Linked DNA regions of Caenorhabditis elegans. The protein of the gene in region 2 purifies or fractionates together with the protein of the main gene of each other region. This does not show direct contact. Each region holds a gene or a part of one and is shown on either strand. Other genes may lie near its edges.

Evidence for each region. Proteins that work in one complex are often made in the same cells at the same time.
Region 1: the proteins of prde-1 (region 2) and mel-28 purify together in Caenorhabditis elegans (affinity purification with mass spectrometry, with the first as the bait; one study listed by BioGRID). This does not show direct contact.

Annotation. Positions count from the first base shown.
Region 1 is NC_003281.10:4,784,140-4,792,096, forward strand, and holds the start of mel-28 (Protein mel-28), read left to right. Parts: upstream 1-1,940; 5' UTR 1,941-1,941; coding exon 1,942-2,032; intron 2,033-2,076; coding exon 2,077-2,214; intron 2,215-2,272; coding exon 2,273-2,521; intron 2,522-2,567; coding exon 2,568-2,675; intron 2,676-2,719; coding exon 2,720-3,636; intron 3,637-3,684; coding exon 3,685-3,804; intron 3,805-3,847; coding exon 3,848-4,332; intron 4,333-4,385; coding exon 4,386-4,900; intron 4,901-4,950; coding exon 4,951-5,294; intron 5,295-5,344; coding exon 5,345-6,433; intron 6,434-6,488; coding exon 6,489-6,581; intron 6,582-6,631; coding exon 6,632-6,724; intron 6,725-6,769; coding exon 6,770-6,862; intron 6,863-6,908; coding exon 6,909-7,211; intron 7,212-7,258; coding exon 7,259-7,570; intron 7,571-7,646; coding exon 7,647-7,874; intron 7,875-7,919; coding exon 7,920-7,957. Other genes in the region: enu-3.2 (ENhancer of Uncoordination), read right to left, coding at 1-161, 323-460, 575-922, 981-1,040. UniProt on the Caenorhabditis elegans protein: Nuclear envelope protein which has essential roles in assembly of nuclear pore complexes and in chromatin maintenance during the cell cycle. Appears to be a stable structural component of the nuclear envelope during interphase.
Region 2 is NC_003283.11:15,536,443-15,541,259, forward strand, and holds the start of prde-1 (piRNA biogenesis factor prde-1), read left to right. Parts: upstream 1-1,801; 5' UTR 1,802-1,815; coding exon 1,816-1,995; intron 1,996-2,065; coding exon 2,066-2,431; intron 2,432-3,424; coding exon 3,425-3,765; intron 3,766-4,817. Other genes in the region: F21A3.4 (Trichohyalin-like), read left to right, coding at 224-274, 329-559, 1,055-1,207, 1,260-1,544. UniProt on the Caenorhabditis elegans protein: Nuclear factor required for the production of piwi-interacting RNA (piRNA) precursors. Specifically required for piRNAs produced from loci associated with the Ruby motif. Promotes binding of the transcription factor snpc-4 at piRNA genomic clusters.

The sequences.
Region 1 (7,957 bases), on a different chromosome or scaffold from region 2:
ATTGCTTCTTCCTTTTGAGCGGTCTTGGTCCGACTCTCGTATGGTCCGTTGGTCGAGCCTGCTCCGAGGGCTGGTGTGATGGGCGGGGCCACCGCGGATCGTCGTTTCTCCATCACTTTTGTGACGTTTCCATTGGGAGTCTTGCTCTCTGCTACCACATACTGAAATTTAAAACTGCGTTTTTTCAATTCTCTTTCAATGCTAATAATTCCGTTTTTACGTCGTGGCCGCGAAATGCGAAAACTCGGCCACCTTCAAAGATCTTGGCCGAGCTCTCGCTTTTTCTAGGCCACGTTGCAAAAAAATCGATAATAAAACGTACCGGATTCGCGGCAATTCCATAAGCCAACCGCTCTCGGCGTTCCTTCTCCTCATCCTCGTGCTGCTGATCGTCTTGTTCTTCTCGCTTCCTAGCCGCCATCTGCTCAGCGATGAGCTCCTCAAAATATTTCTTCTGCTCCTGAAAAGAAGGTTTCGTATGTTGAAAGTTGTCCACGTGTAGTACGCAATTCGCTTTTCATTAAATATAACTTAAATCAATAAAAAGCTAGGCCACTGGCAAAATTTCACTTACCCTCGCCTTCTGATCCTCGAGGTAGAAATACAAAAAAATGTGGAAAATGACGAAGGCGATCAGGATGCCATATCCGATGTACTTCGGCGTGTCCTTGTGAACATTGATCGTGTATGCACATGACGGGCAGTGTGTGCCGTTTCCATTTTTGCAGGTTTGAGGGCTCGCCGAGCTCACAAGAGCAAGCTGCGTCGTATTGGCGGCAGGAGCGGTCACGTTTACATTTTTCGTCGGATTGCCGGCAGGAGCGGTCGCATTAGGACTTTTTGCCGAATTGCCGGCAGGAGCGGTCACGTTTGAAGTGTTCGTAGCGGCGGAAACAGGCACATTTGGTGTGGTGGTTGTTGGCTGAAAAATGGTGAAACATTATGGTCTAGAAAAATCGAAGGATGTCTAGGCAACTCACCAATACATGAACTATTAATCCGAAGATTACCAATGAAAACAAAATACGCAAAATACGCATTTTTGAGTGACGCGTGTGTCGGAGAGAAACCGATTTCACAAACTAATTTAAGTTATAATTTGTTTATTTCAATCGCTACGTGTGCCGTGTGCCACGTGGCCACGCGTGAGTAGGGGCGGGGCCTATTTCGCAACCACCGCACACTTTTTTCGCAAGCCTCGCACGTTTTTCCATGATATTGTTGCATTTTTCAAAAGAAAAAACGTGCGAGGCTTGCGAAAAAAGTGTGCGGTGGCTGCGAATAGGTCCCGCCCCTGCATCCTGTTTTGGGTTCCTTTTTGTTTGTTTTTTTTTCGCGGATGGTTAATTTTGTTTTCGAAGAATTTCTCGTAAAAAGTTCCTTTACAATTAGTCAAATTTTATTCACTCAATAAACAAGGTTTTTCTTCAAAAAATACAAGGTTTCGCGATGCGCCTATCATTTTATCATTTCTTGAGTAAAACAGTCTTTACGCTCGTTGCTCCAAAAAATGTATGTTTCTTAAGGGTTTCCATTAATTTTTTAGAAGTCATTTGAAAATGCTAAAAAGTTGGTTTACGTCATTTTAAGTATGTGCTTCTCTTAAGATAATGATGTAATATGGATTATATTCCAATTTAAATCATTCAAATTGATTTTTTTCATTTAAGAATTCCATTCAATTTCTACATTCTTCGTTGCGTCTTCTAACCTTTGCAAGCATTTTCCATTTTCGCTTGTTTTCGCAGTCCGTATGTTTCCGTTGCGGTGTTTGCGTATTGGTGAAAACAAATTTTCCCGGTCGTTTGAATGTAGTCGGACGAGCCCTTATTTTAAGCTACGCACTTCTAAAACCACTTATTTTAATTGATAATTTCTTTGTCTCACTTCTTTAAATGTTATTTATTAGCTGCGATGTGCAAAGGTTTATTTTTTTTCAGAATGGATAATGAAAATTCGTCCATTTTCAAATCATATCAAGGATACGAGTGTTGGAGGGGAGAAAAGCAAATTATTTTGAAGGATTCAATTGGTATTTCATATTTCTATCGATTCAACATTATTCTATTCATTCAGGTCGTCAACTTCCCTACATTGTGAATTTTAAAAAGAATACGTGTCAAATATTCGATATCGAATGGGAACGCGTAACTCACTCGTTCGTTTTCCCTGAAGGATGTGCTTTGATCGATGCGGACTATTTTCCAACAGAAGGTAAGTTTTTTATTACTATCATATTTTCTTTATTGATTTCAAAATATTTTATTTACAGAAGGAAAGCTCGGAATTCTTGTTGGTGTTGAAGATCCTCGTCAGTCGTGCGGTGCCGAGCACTTTGTTCTTGCATTGGCAGTTGATCCGGATTCACCAGCCATGACAATCACACACTCACTGGAAGTTCCATCGAAAATTACAGTTGTGAAGACGCTTTTTTCGTCTGCCGACATGGCTGATGAAACACAGAGAACAGTTTTAAAGCTCTATCATCGACTGATGACGTGGCAGCATATTGTGGCAATTGGTAATAAATCAAATTTGAATGAAAACTTTGCAAATTTACATTCCAGGTTGCAAGGAGACACAATGCTACTTAGCTCGTTTAGTTGCTGTTGAGACGCCGTCAAGTCCTGTCATCACAGTTCACAGTGAGAAAAAGTATTTGATCAACCTAATGAGTAAGTTTCCCGAAGATTAAACAAATTTGATTAGTGTGTTTCAGATGCTTACGTCAGCGGTTCAGTTCTTCAGTACACTTTGGACGATGGAGCATATCGTGAATACCCAACCGCCGCCGTGTATATCTCAGCGTTATCGTTGATGCCAAGAAGTCGAACTCTTCTTGTCGGTTTATCGATGGGAGGCATTCTGGCAGCTTCATTGAATCCTTCAAATCAGATGATGCTTTTGGAATTGAGACACGAACGACTTGTCAGAAAAATTGCTCCATTAGAACCAGAAGATGATCCCGACAAATTTGAGTATTTCATCGCCACTGTTGATTGTTCACCTCGTCATCCAATCATGATTCAACTTTGGCGTGGATCTTTCAAAACTCTCGAGGATGTTGATGGAGAAGAAAAGTACGACCGTCCATCATTCAGTGTTTGTCTAGAACATAAGATTTTGTTCGGAGAAAGATGGTTGGCTGTGAATCCTATTGTTACTGAAAGAGATCATATGATGCTCACAAGAAAGCGAGGAACGGAAGATTCGATGCACAATGTTTCTCAGACATTCGGATCAACTTCTAATCGAAACTCTGTTCTTTTGGCATACGAACGAAAGAAGATGGTGATCGGCACAGAAGACCCGAATGCTGAACCAGAATACATTGTGGAAGCAGCTATTTTTGATATAGATTCATGGTACTACAAAAGAGTTCCCGGTCGAGTATCTACAGATGGAACTGTTCTCAAGCAATGTGCATTCTTATCAACTATAAAGTCTAACATCCGATCAGAAGATGTAAATGACATCGGAATTCTTACAAATGAGGCCACTGATGTATCCAGCTTCTCTAGCATGGTTTCAGACGCAGATCAACTGTTTTATCCGTCAGCATTAAGCTTCGAAAGGGTTTTTGTTGCCAAGAATACCAGAATTGACTGGATGAAGATCCAGAACATCCAGGACACGGTAAATTTATCGGCATTGAGATTGTTTTTATTCCGGTTTTTTTTTCAGATTTTGAACAAATGCGCCGTCAAACTGCCTGCTCTCATCAGGAATCCCGAAATGATTTCCAGCGTTGTTATGGCAGCTGGTTTAGTGAGAAAAAATATTCTGTCTGGATCTCCCAATTCGGTGAGCTTATTTTTTAAAGTTAAATTGATGAAATTGTTTTCAGAGCGCCGCAGAAATAAACGAACTTCAATTATCGTCTGATCAAAAGGTTCTTCTCAACGTTATCGTCTACTACGGAAAAATTGAAGAGTTTTGTCAATTGGCATCTCGTCCTGACATTAGTGACACGCTAAAACGGGAATTAGCAGAATGGGCACTTCACGAAGCTGTTGACTACAAGAGAACTATTTCTGACAAGATGGTTTCACTCTTCCAGGGAAGATCACTTGCTCTCTCTCCACTAGCAGAAGAATCTATTGCACAGGGAATCAAGCTTTTCCGAGTTGTTTACGAATATCTGAAAGCCTGTTCAAAAGCGTTAAAAGATGATCGACTTCGCAATTTGGCCCATTCTGTGATATGTATGAGAAACCATACGAAACTTACCAGCCAATTCATCAATTTTGCCATCATTCCTGTAGACCCGATCAGACAGCAAAGAATGAAGGATTTACATTCAAAGAGAAAAAATATGGCGAGAAAGAACTCGTGAGTTTAGAAAAATCCTTTTTAAGAAAAAGTTATACGATTAAATTATTCAGATCATCTCTACCCGTTCAATCAGTCGTTCGAAAAATGAATCGTCAAGCTCCAAATGCTCAATTCTGGAACGATATTCCACATGACGAATGGTATCCGCCAACACCTCTCGATTTGCTGGAATGCCTGCTGAATGTTTCGATTTCTGAGAGTATTAAACGAGAACTCGTTGTCCAATATGTCATTGATTGGATTTCCACATCTCCTGAAGATTCTGAACACAGCGAAAAACAATTGGCACTTGAAACTATCAAAATCATGACAAATCAAATGCTTAACGTTAACTTGGAGAAAATTTATTACATTCTGGACCAAGGAAAGAAGGCTTTAACAAGCAGCAAGACATCGGATGATATGAGAGCACTTGGAGAGAAAGTATTCTCAATGAAAGATGACGAGATTAGTTATGAGAAATTGTGGGGAAAAGATGCTCCGATGACAGTGACAATCGGAAAACACGATTTACAGCGATTTGAACAACGAATGAAAATGCAAATGGAAGGTGGAAAAGTTAGATGTGAGATAGATTTTCAGTCTCATTTCCAATTAATTTTTTTTAATTTCCAGTGCCAGTTCTCGATCCGGAATCTGAGATTCTCTACCAAATGTTTCTCTTTGAAAACGAAAAGTTTGAAGCAATGTCATCAGAAGCGATTAGTTCCAACAAATTGCTATCGGCTTTCCTGCCAGGAATGATCAAGAAGGATGGAAGAGGTCGTCAGAAGACTGCGAAAGAACAGGAAATCGAAATTTCAGTTAAGAAAATGTTTGAGAGAAAGGTGCAAAACGACGACGAAGATATGCCTGAAGTTTTCGCTTCTGTCAATGACAAAACAGAAAGAAAGCGGAAATCAAGTCAGTTTGGTGAAGACGATGAGAGTAGTGTTTCGTCATCACAATATGTGCCACCTGTAAGATTATTGCAGTTAAATAGTACAAACCAAGATTCTGAAATTTACAGACCGCGAAGAGAATTCAACAGTGGAAGAGTGCCGTCGAATCTGTTGCCAACAATTCGAGTATCAACAGTATCACAAGTCCGGATTCTCACCAAAATGCAGAAATCAATATGATGATTGCAACACCGGCACGGTATTACAAGCGACATAATGAGGAGGAAAATGTTCAAGATGGATTTCTATCGCCCGCTGGAAACAGACCGCCGCCAGTCTCTGCTCACAACAGTATTCTGAAAACAGCTAAAGGTGGCCAATCGGCTAGTCGAGGCCGTATCCGATTCCGTGCTGACGTTCCAAGAGGTGCTGACGAGAGTATTGAAGACAATGGTCGGAAAGGCCTTGCATTGAACTTTGCAATTCTTGAAGATGAAGAAGAGGAAACCATGACTATTAGAAAATCACGGTCTATGGGAAAACATGACGAGGAGAAGGATTCAGAGAAAAATGTAGTGGATGAGATGGAAGAAGTAAAAGATCAAGAACAAGAAAACGATGAATGCATTGAAAGTGAGAAAACTTTCGAAAACCAAGACGATTTCGAGGTTCTCGAAGATACATCTGCTCCAGAAGCTGCAAATACAGAAAATGGTTCGGAAACTCCTCCCATGGAAGATACGTTTGAAGTACGAGATGATGACGTCATGCCACCAACCGATGAGACATATTTGAGTCATTTACAAACCGATAAAACGGGTATTCTTGAGGAGGAAGGTGAAGATGAAGATATATGGGATGGAGTTCAAAGATCTTTCGAGGTTCAAATGGATGAGGATTGTGAAGCTGTACCAACGATTGATGTAGCCGATGATTTGGAGAGTAAATCTGAAGAAGTGAATGAAGAAGAGGTAGTTGAATCTGAAGAAGTTCAGCAAGATGCGAAAGAACCTGAAAAAACTGAAAAACGACAGGAAGAGCCAGAACCTGAAGTTATGCAGCCAGTGATTCCGGAAGAGCCTCAAAACGAATCTCTCGAATCGTCTATTAAACTGCAGGAAGAGTTACAGGAAGAGCCTGACATAGTTCCGACAGGTGATGAAGATACCGCGGATAAAGTTCAAGAACAAGCTGTTGAGGAAGATAGACCACCATCTGTAAGATACCATAAAATAAAATTTGAGGAAAAACGGCAATAATTGTATATTTCAGAGAAACACTCGCTCATCATCTGTCCAGAAGTCTACTTCACAAGTGGAAGACCGGGATCCGAAAGAACTTGTCGAGGAAGAAAGACCTCCATCTGTCAGTTTCGTCATCAATTTGACAGACAGAAATAAAATTTATGTTTTCAGAGAAACACTCGTTCTGCGTCTGTTCAAAAATCATCTAACCAAGAGAAAACTTCGGAATCAGGAGAAGTCACGGAAGAAGATAGACCACCATCCGTGAGTTGTTTTTAAAATTTGAAATTTATATGTGTATTTTTCTAGAGAAATACGCGGTCGGCATCTGTTCAAAAATCTTCATCAAAGGTAAAAGACCAGAAGCCAGAGGAACTCATCGAGGAAGATAGACCTCCATCAGTAAGTCTCTCGTGATTTCTTTAAAAATTTAGTTCAATATTTCCAGAGAAATACTCGATCCGCATCAGCCCAGAAGACAGTGGCAGCAAATAAATCTGTTTTGGAGTCTGAAATTCCAAGTCGTTCAGCGTCACGAAGAACTCGCTCCACATCGCTTAGGAATGATACTGTTGCCGAACCAGATGAGACGTCGGTTGCGATGACAACTCGGCGTCGGACTCGGGCAACTTCTGAGGTTGTTAGCAAGCAGTCGTCTGAAGATGATGGAAGATCGACACCAAAAACCGGAAGAACTCCCACGAAAAAGGCTGCAGCTAGTACATCTTCTAGTAGAGCTGGAAGTGTAACTGTACGTTGTTTAATCGTTTAATCATACAACTATTCGAACATTTTCAGCGCGGTAAAAAATCGATCATCCAAAAGATGCCATCCCCGCTAGAGGTTACAATGGAAGTTCAAGAAGAAGAAGAAGAAGAAGCGGAGGAGGAACGGCCTGCATCAAGAAGCACTCGCTCTGCATCTGTCAAAAATACAACTGTTGACCCATCGTCATCTGCACTTGCTTCTACCAAACGTACAACTTCTAGAAAGAGGGGCAATTCGGAAACGATCGACTTTAATCAGGACGACAAATCGGCACCGACGACGCCAAAAAGAGGAAGACCCGCCAAAAAGGATGCAGGATCTCCTAAAGTTGGAAGTAAAGCTGTAAGCATTTTTAATTATTTTTTTGAATTAAAAATGTTGTATTCATAAATTGTAAATTGATTTGTTTTCGTTTCAGCGTGGCACCAAGCCTAAATCGATATTCGAAAATCAAGAAGATGAAGAAGATCGTTCATCCTCTCCAGATATCGAACAACCAGCCACACCTACACGGTCTTCCAAACGAACGGCTAGATCCAGAGCAAATTCCGAATCGATCGATGATGATAGCAAGCAGAAGACCCCAAAAAAGAAAAATGCCGCGGTTAATGAAGCTGGTACCAGTAAACAGTCTAGAAGTGTGACGGTATGATCCCAAAACATAATTTTTTTTCAAAATTATTATTTTCAGAGATCTCGAGCATCATCTATTGATGTACAACAAGAGGT
Region 2 (4,817 bases):
CAGAATTTTTCCAAAAAAAAACTTCTCCTCGGGGAGTACACGGATCAGAGAGCTTGAAAATCAAGTTTTATACTTTTATTAAATCAATTAATTACCAGCGTGAACATTCAAAATTTTGATTTTAAAATATTCCATAGAATTCAAATTTCTCGTGGCAAATGTGGAACCTATTCGACATTTGAATTTATTTCCGAATATTTTTCTCCGAAAAATCAATCGATAAATGGATATCAAAGTGATTCGCGAGAAGTTGACCCTGACAACGTCGATTACGGTGGGTTCCGCGCGAAATTTCTATTCGGAAAAAGTTCAAGTGATTTTTTTTCAGAGCGAATCGGTCGCCGAATACGAGCACGATGTCGACGAATGTTGTCGCCTTCTGGAGCACAAGCTCGAGCTGGAAATGGAGAAGAAGCTGCAACTGAGCAATCGGATCGATGTCGTTCAGTCGCAGGTCACCGAACTTTGGGATCGCGTGGATAAGGCGAGACGTCGCGAATCGGACATCTCGTGTCGCGTCACCGCCTGGGCTCAGCATTTGTCGGAGATGATGAATGAGGTATTACATAGTCGTCAAAAAATTATGTGGGTCTCACCACGCTGTGAACGAGGTACTGTAACTCGTGTCGATTTACGGGCACTAACCTATAAAAAGAACCACTAAATTTTGAGAATGGGTATTGCGCAACGTATCTGACGCGCAAAATATCCCGTAGCGAAAACTACAGTAATTCGTTAAATGACTACTGTAGCGCTGGTCCGATTCTGAAAATCAAAAAAAACTTCCGAATTTTCCGAGAAATGTTTCCGAAAATAAAAAAAAGCCCGTAAATCGACATCCGTGCTACAGTAGTCATTTAAAGAATTACTGTAGTTTTCGCTACGAGATACTTTGCCCGTCAGATATGTTGCATAATACGCATTCTCAGCATTTAGTGTTTTTGTAATAGCGACCCGTGAATTATCACAATGAAAAGTAACCTTTTGTCCGCGTGACGAGACCATGCGCGTAAGATATGGCGAAAACTAATATTATATGCAATTTTTTGTTCAGGTGAAGCTGAAAAAGGCTAAGATGGGCACAACGATGGAAATATCCGCGACACTTTCTGCTGAAATTCAAGAAAGTCTGGATTTACTCGCGGAAAAGCGAGTGATTGTTCAGAGAATGCGGGAGGAAATCGACTATCGTCGCCACTTGCACAAGGTTTTTATTAATAAATCTGAAAATGTTTAAAGCAATATTGAAACATTTTCAGCAACAACTCAAAGATTTGAAGCTGGATTGTGACAGAGAGGAGGAGAAATGCGAATATTGGAATGATAAAAGCGCTGAAATCGAAAAAGTTGTGGAAATGCTCAAAGAGCAACGCAAATCGCTTGGCGAACGTGTTGAAGAGGAGAAACGAATGGAGCAGGAGCAGAAGAAGATGCTGGAAGAGCTTGAAATGTTGTTGAAGAAAACTGGGAAGAAACGGCAGATTTTAGATGAAAACGCCAATTTGGTGGCTTCTTTCTCCAGTTTGACCGAGGAAAGCTCTTAATTTTTATGTTTTTTTCTTCAAAAGCATTTTTTTTGTGTGTTTTTTCCTCAAAATAAATCATTTTTAATTGTTTTAAAACATGTTTTTGAAATTAATCGTCAATAACGAAAGTTGCGTCAGCTACCACTGCTAGCGCGTTTCTCGTGTTGCTTGCGCTTTTCTCGATGGCAGCGAATTTTAAATTTAAATATTTAAATTTTCGTTTTTCCTGCCTAAATTTACTTGTTTTTCACCATTTTTCTTGTGAGTTTATCAACTTTTCAGGTAAAAAATGAACAGAAATCGCAAAGGACACGATTTAGAAAACATTGAGCATCGATTCACCGATGAGGACTTGGCAGGTCTGAAGGAGCAAAAGCTTTTTAATGGTAAATGGATTATTTTGGAGAAAAAGGAGAAACGAGGAGCCGCGTATTGTTATCTTGTGTGTGACAAGCCGTGCAAGAAATTTGTGAGTTATTAAAAAAAATTAAATTTAAAAAAAAAAAAAGTAAAAAAAAAATTATTATTCGAATTTTCAGGGGATTCTTTACTTGGAAATCGGCGAGGACAACGTGACAACCATCGCGAATCAAGTAGATTTCTATCATCAGCAATCGTCACTTGGCTATTCTCATCGATTTTCCGCTTTAATTGATGCCGGAATCATAAATAATCACGTCTTCTTCATGGTCGTCAGAATCCGTGCAGGACCCACTTTACATGATCTTTTAAAATGTCTGAGCAGTGATAAAATGTCCGTAACTACTGCCAGTTTCCTCGCTGTCGACATGATTTCTGCTATCGAAATTCTGTCAGCTTCCGGATGGGTTTTGAGAAATTTCGACTCGAAACAATGGATGTTGGATATCAAAACGAGGCAGTTTTATTTGGCCGATGCTACTGATGTACGGACTATGTTTCCGCTTTTAAAATAACAATTTCCACTAAAAAATTGCAAGAAAAATCGCGATTTTCAGCAACTTTTCACCTAGAAAACGCATTTTTTCGGAATTACACGAAAAAACCAATTTTCTTAAAAATTCACCTAAAAAATCTCGATTTCCAGCATTTTTTCACCTGAAAAGCGTATTTTCTTGGAATTGTACAAAAATCGCCGATTTTTAGCAATGTTTTCACATAAAAAACTTAATTTTTTGGATTTATACAACAAGAAACCCCGATTTTCAGTAATTTTCCTGAAATTCGCCCGAAAAATCTAAATTTTCAGCAATTTTCACCGAAAAAGCGTATTTTCTTCGTATTATACAAAAATCTGTGATTTTTAGCAATGTTTTCACATAAAAAACGTATTTTCTCGGTAAATCCACAAAAAACCAATTTTCAGTTATTTTTCTTGAAATTTGCCCGAAAAATCTCAATTTCCAGCAATTTTTACCTAATGGGGTTATTCAAGTAGTGTCGGAAAATTAAAAAGTGTAGAAAAATTACGTCACAACCTTATTCAAGTAGATAAAAACATGTATTTAAATACATTTGTGACGTCACAAATGTATTTAAATACATTTTGCTACATTACTTGAATAACCCCATAAAAATTTGAAATTTTTGGGAAAAATGAATAAAAGTCCCAGAATCGTCTGAAAATCAACATTGTTGGTTTCAAAAACTCCGCAAAACAGCGAGTTTCTTTAGAAAAATTATTAAAAACATATACTTCGTCAAAAAAAAACAATTTCTACTGAAAAAAACTAAAAATCGCAATTTTCAGTCGAAATTCGAGTTTATTTTTTCGATTTTATTTTTTTATTAATCAAATTTTTGATTTCTTGGAAGAAATTTCGGTTTCAGACTCTTAAAATAAACAATTTATGCATTTAAAACCCCAGATTCTCGTTAAAAATCGATTTTTCTCATACTAAAATTCCAAAAATTTGCAGATCACCGTCTCCTCTGACAAACGTCACCGTGCCATCGACGAGATTCATCTCAGAACAGCCGAATCTATAGATTTGCATTGGAAAACCGGAGATTTGATCTACGCGCCGCGCTCTTTTGTCGATCGAGATCAATCTCATCGAATGACTGAATTGGATATGATGGAAATGATGCTCTATGTGCTCTACGATTGGACACATGGAAAATTGCCGTGGAAATCGTCGAAATCCAGAGAAAGAATTATGGAAATGAAGGAATTGTTCATTGAAAATTTGCAAAAAGAGCCGGAAGAAACGAATAAAGTCGAGCAGCAAATTGATGTTGATGTTTGGTTCGATATCGCGTATGGATTTTGGAAAATTTAGCAAAAAAATGAGATTTTCATGGAAATTCATCCAAAAAATCGGGATTTTCAGTGATTTTTCTTCCTTTAAGAATGATTTTTGCTAATTACATTTTTAAAAAATCACGATTTTTAGCTATTTTTCATTTAAAAAATCATTTTCTTGCTAATTATTCAAAAAATTCAAATTTTCAGTGATTTTTCACCAAAAAAAGTAGAAAAAAGTAGATTTCTTGCAATTTACACAAAAAATCTCGATTGATAGCAATTTTCACCTAAACACAAAACAAATAATTATCCCAAAAATCCAGAATTTTAGCATTTTTCCTAAATACTAAAAATCATTTTTCTTGCAATTTTTATAAAAAATCGTCTTCTAATTTTTTTCACTCAAAAAATAAAATATTTTCCTGAAATTATCCCGAAAAGCCCCGATTTTCAGCTATTTTTCATCGAAAAAAAATCTAATTTTTATGAAAATTCACCCAAAAAACCCCGATTTTCAGCGATTTTTCACAAAAAAAGAATACAATTTTCTTCAAAATAACCCGAAAGGTTTCAATTTTCAGCATTTTTTTATGGAAAAAAACTAATTCACCCTTTTTTTTTTCACGAAAAATCAATTTTTTTAGAAATTCACCCAAAAATCCAGATTTTCAGCATTTGTTCTTCTAAAAAATATTTTTCTTGCAATTTACATAAAAAATCACTTTTTTTAAAAGCAATTTTTCACTTAAAAAAATAAAAATTTATTGTAAACCAGCCGTGGACCGCACCTTCGGCGCAGCCCCCGACTTCTGGGGCTGAAAACTAATTTTTCTGAAACTACCGTAATCATACAGTACTCCTACCGTACCACTATTGTACCACTACAGTACCCCGACTATATCCCTACACTAAGCCCAACTCACTATCCTCCAGAAGCCAAAACGTCACAGAATACAAAGACTACATAGACTACAAACTATGGACAAACGGAATAAGCGCTTTATATATAGTAAATGATTACCTGAAATATTTAGATTTTAAGCAATTTTTCCGAAAAATTGAAT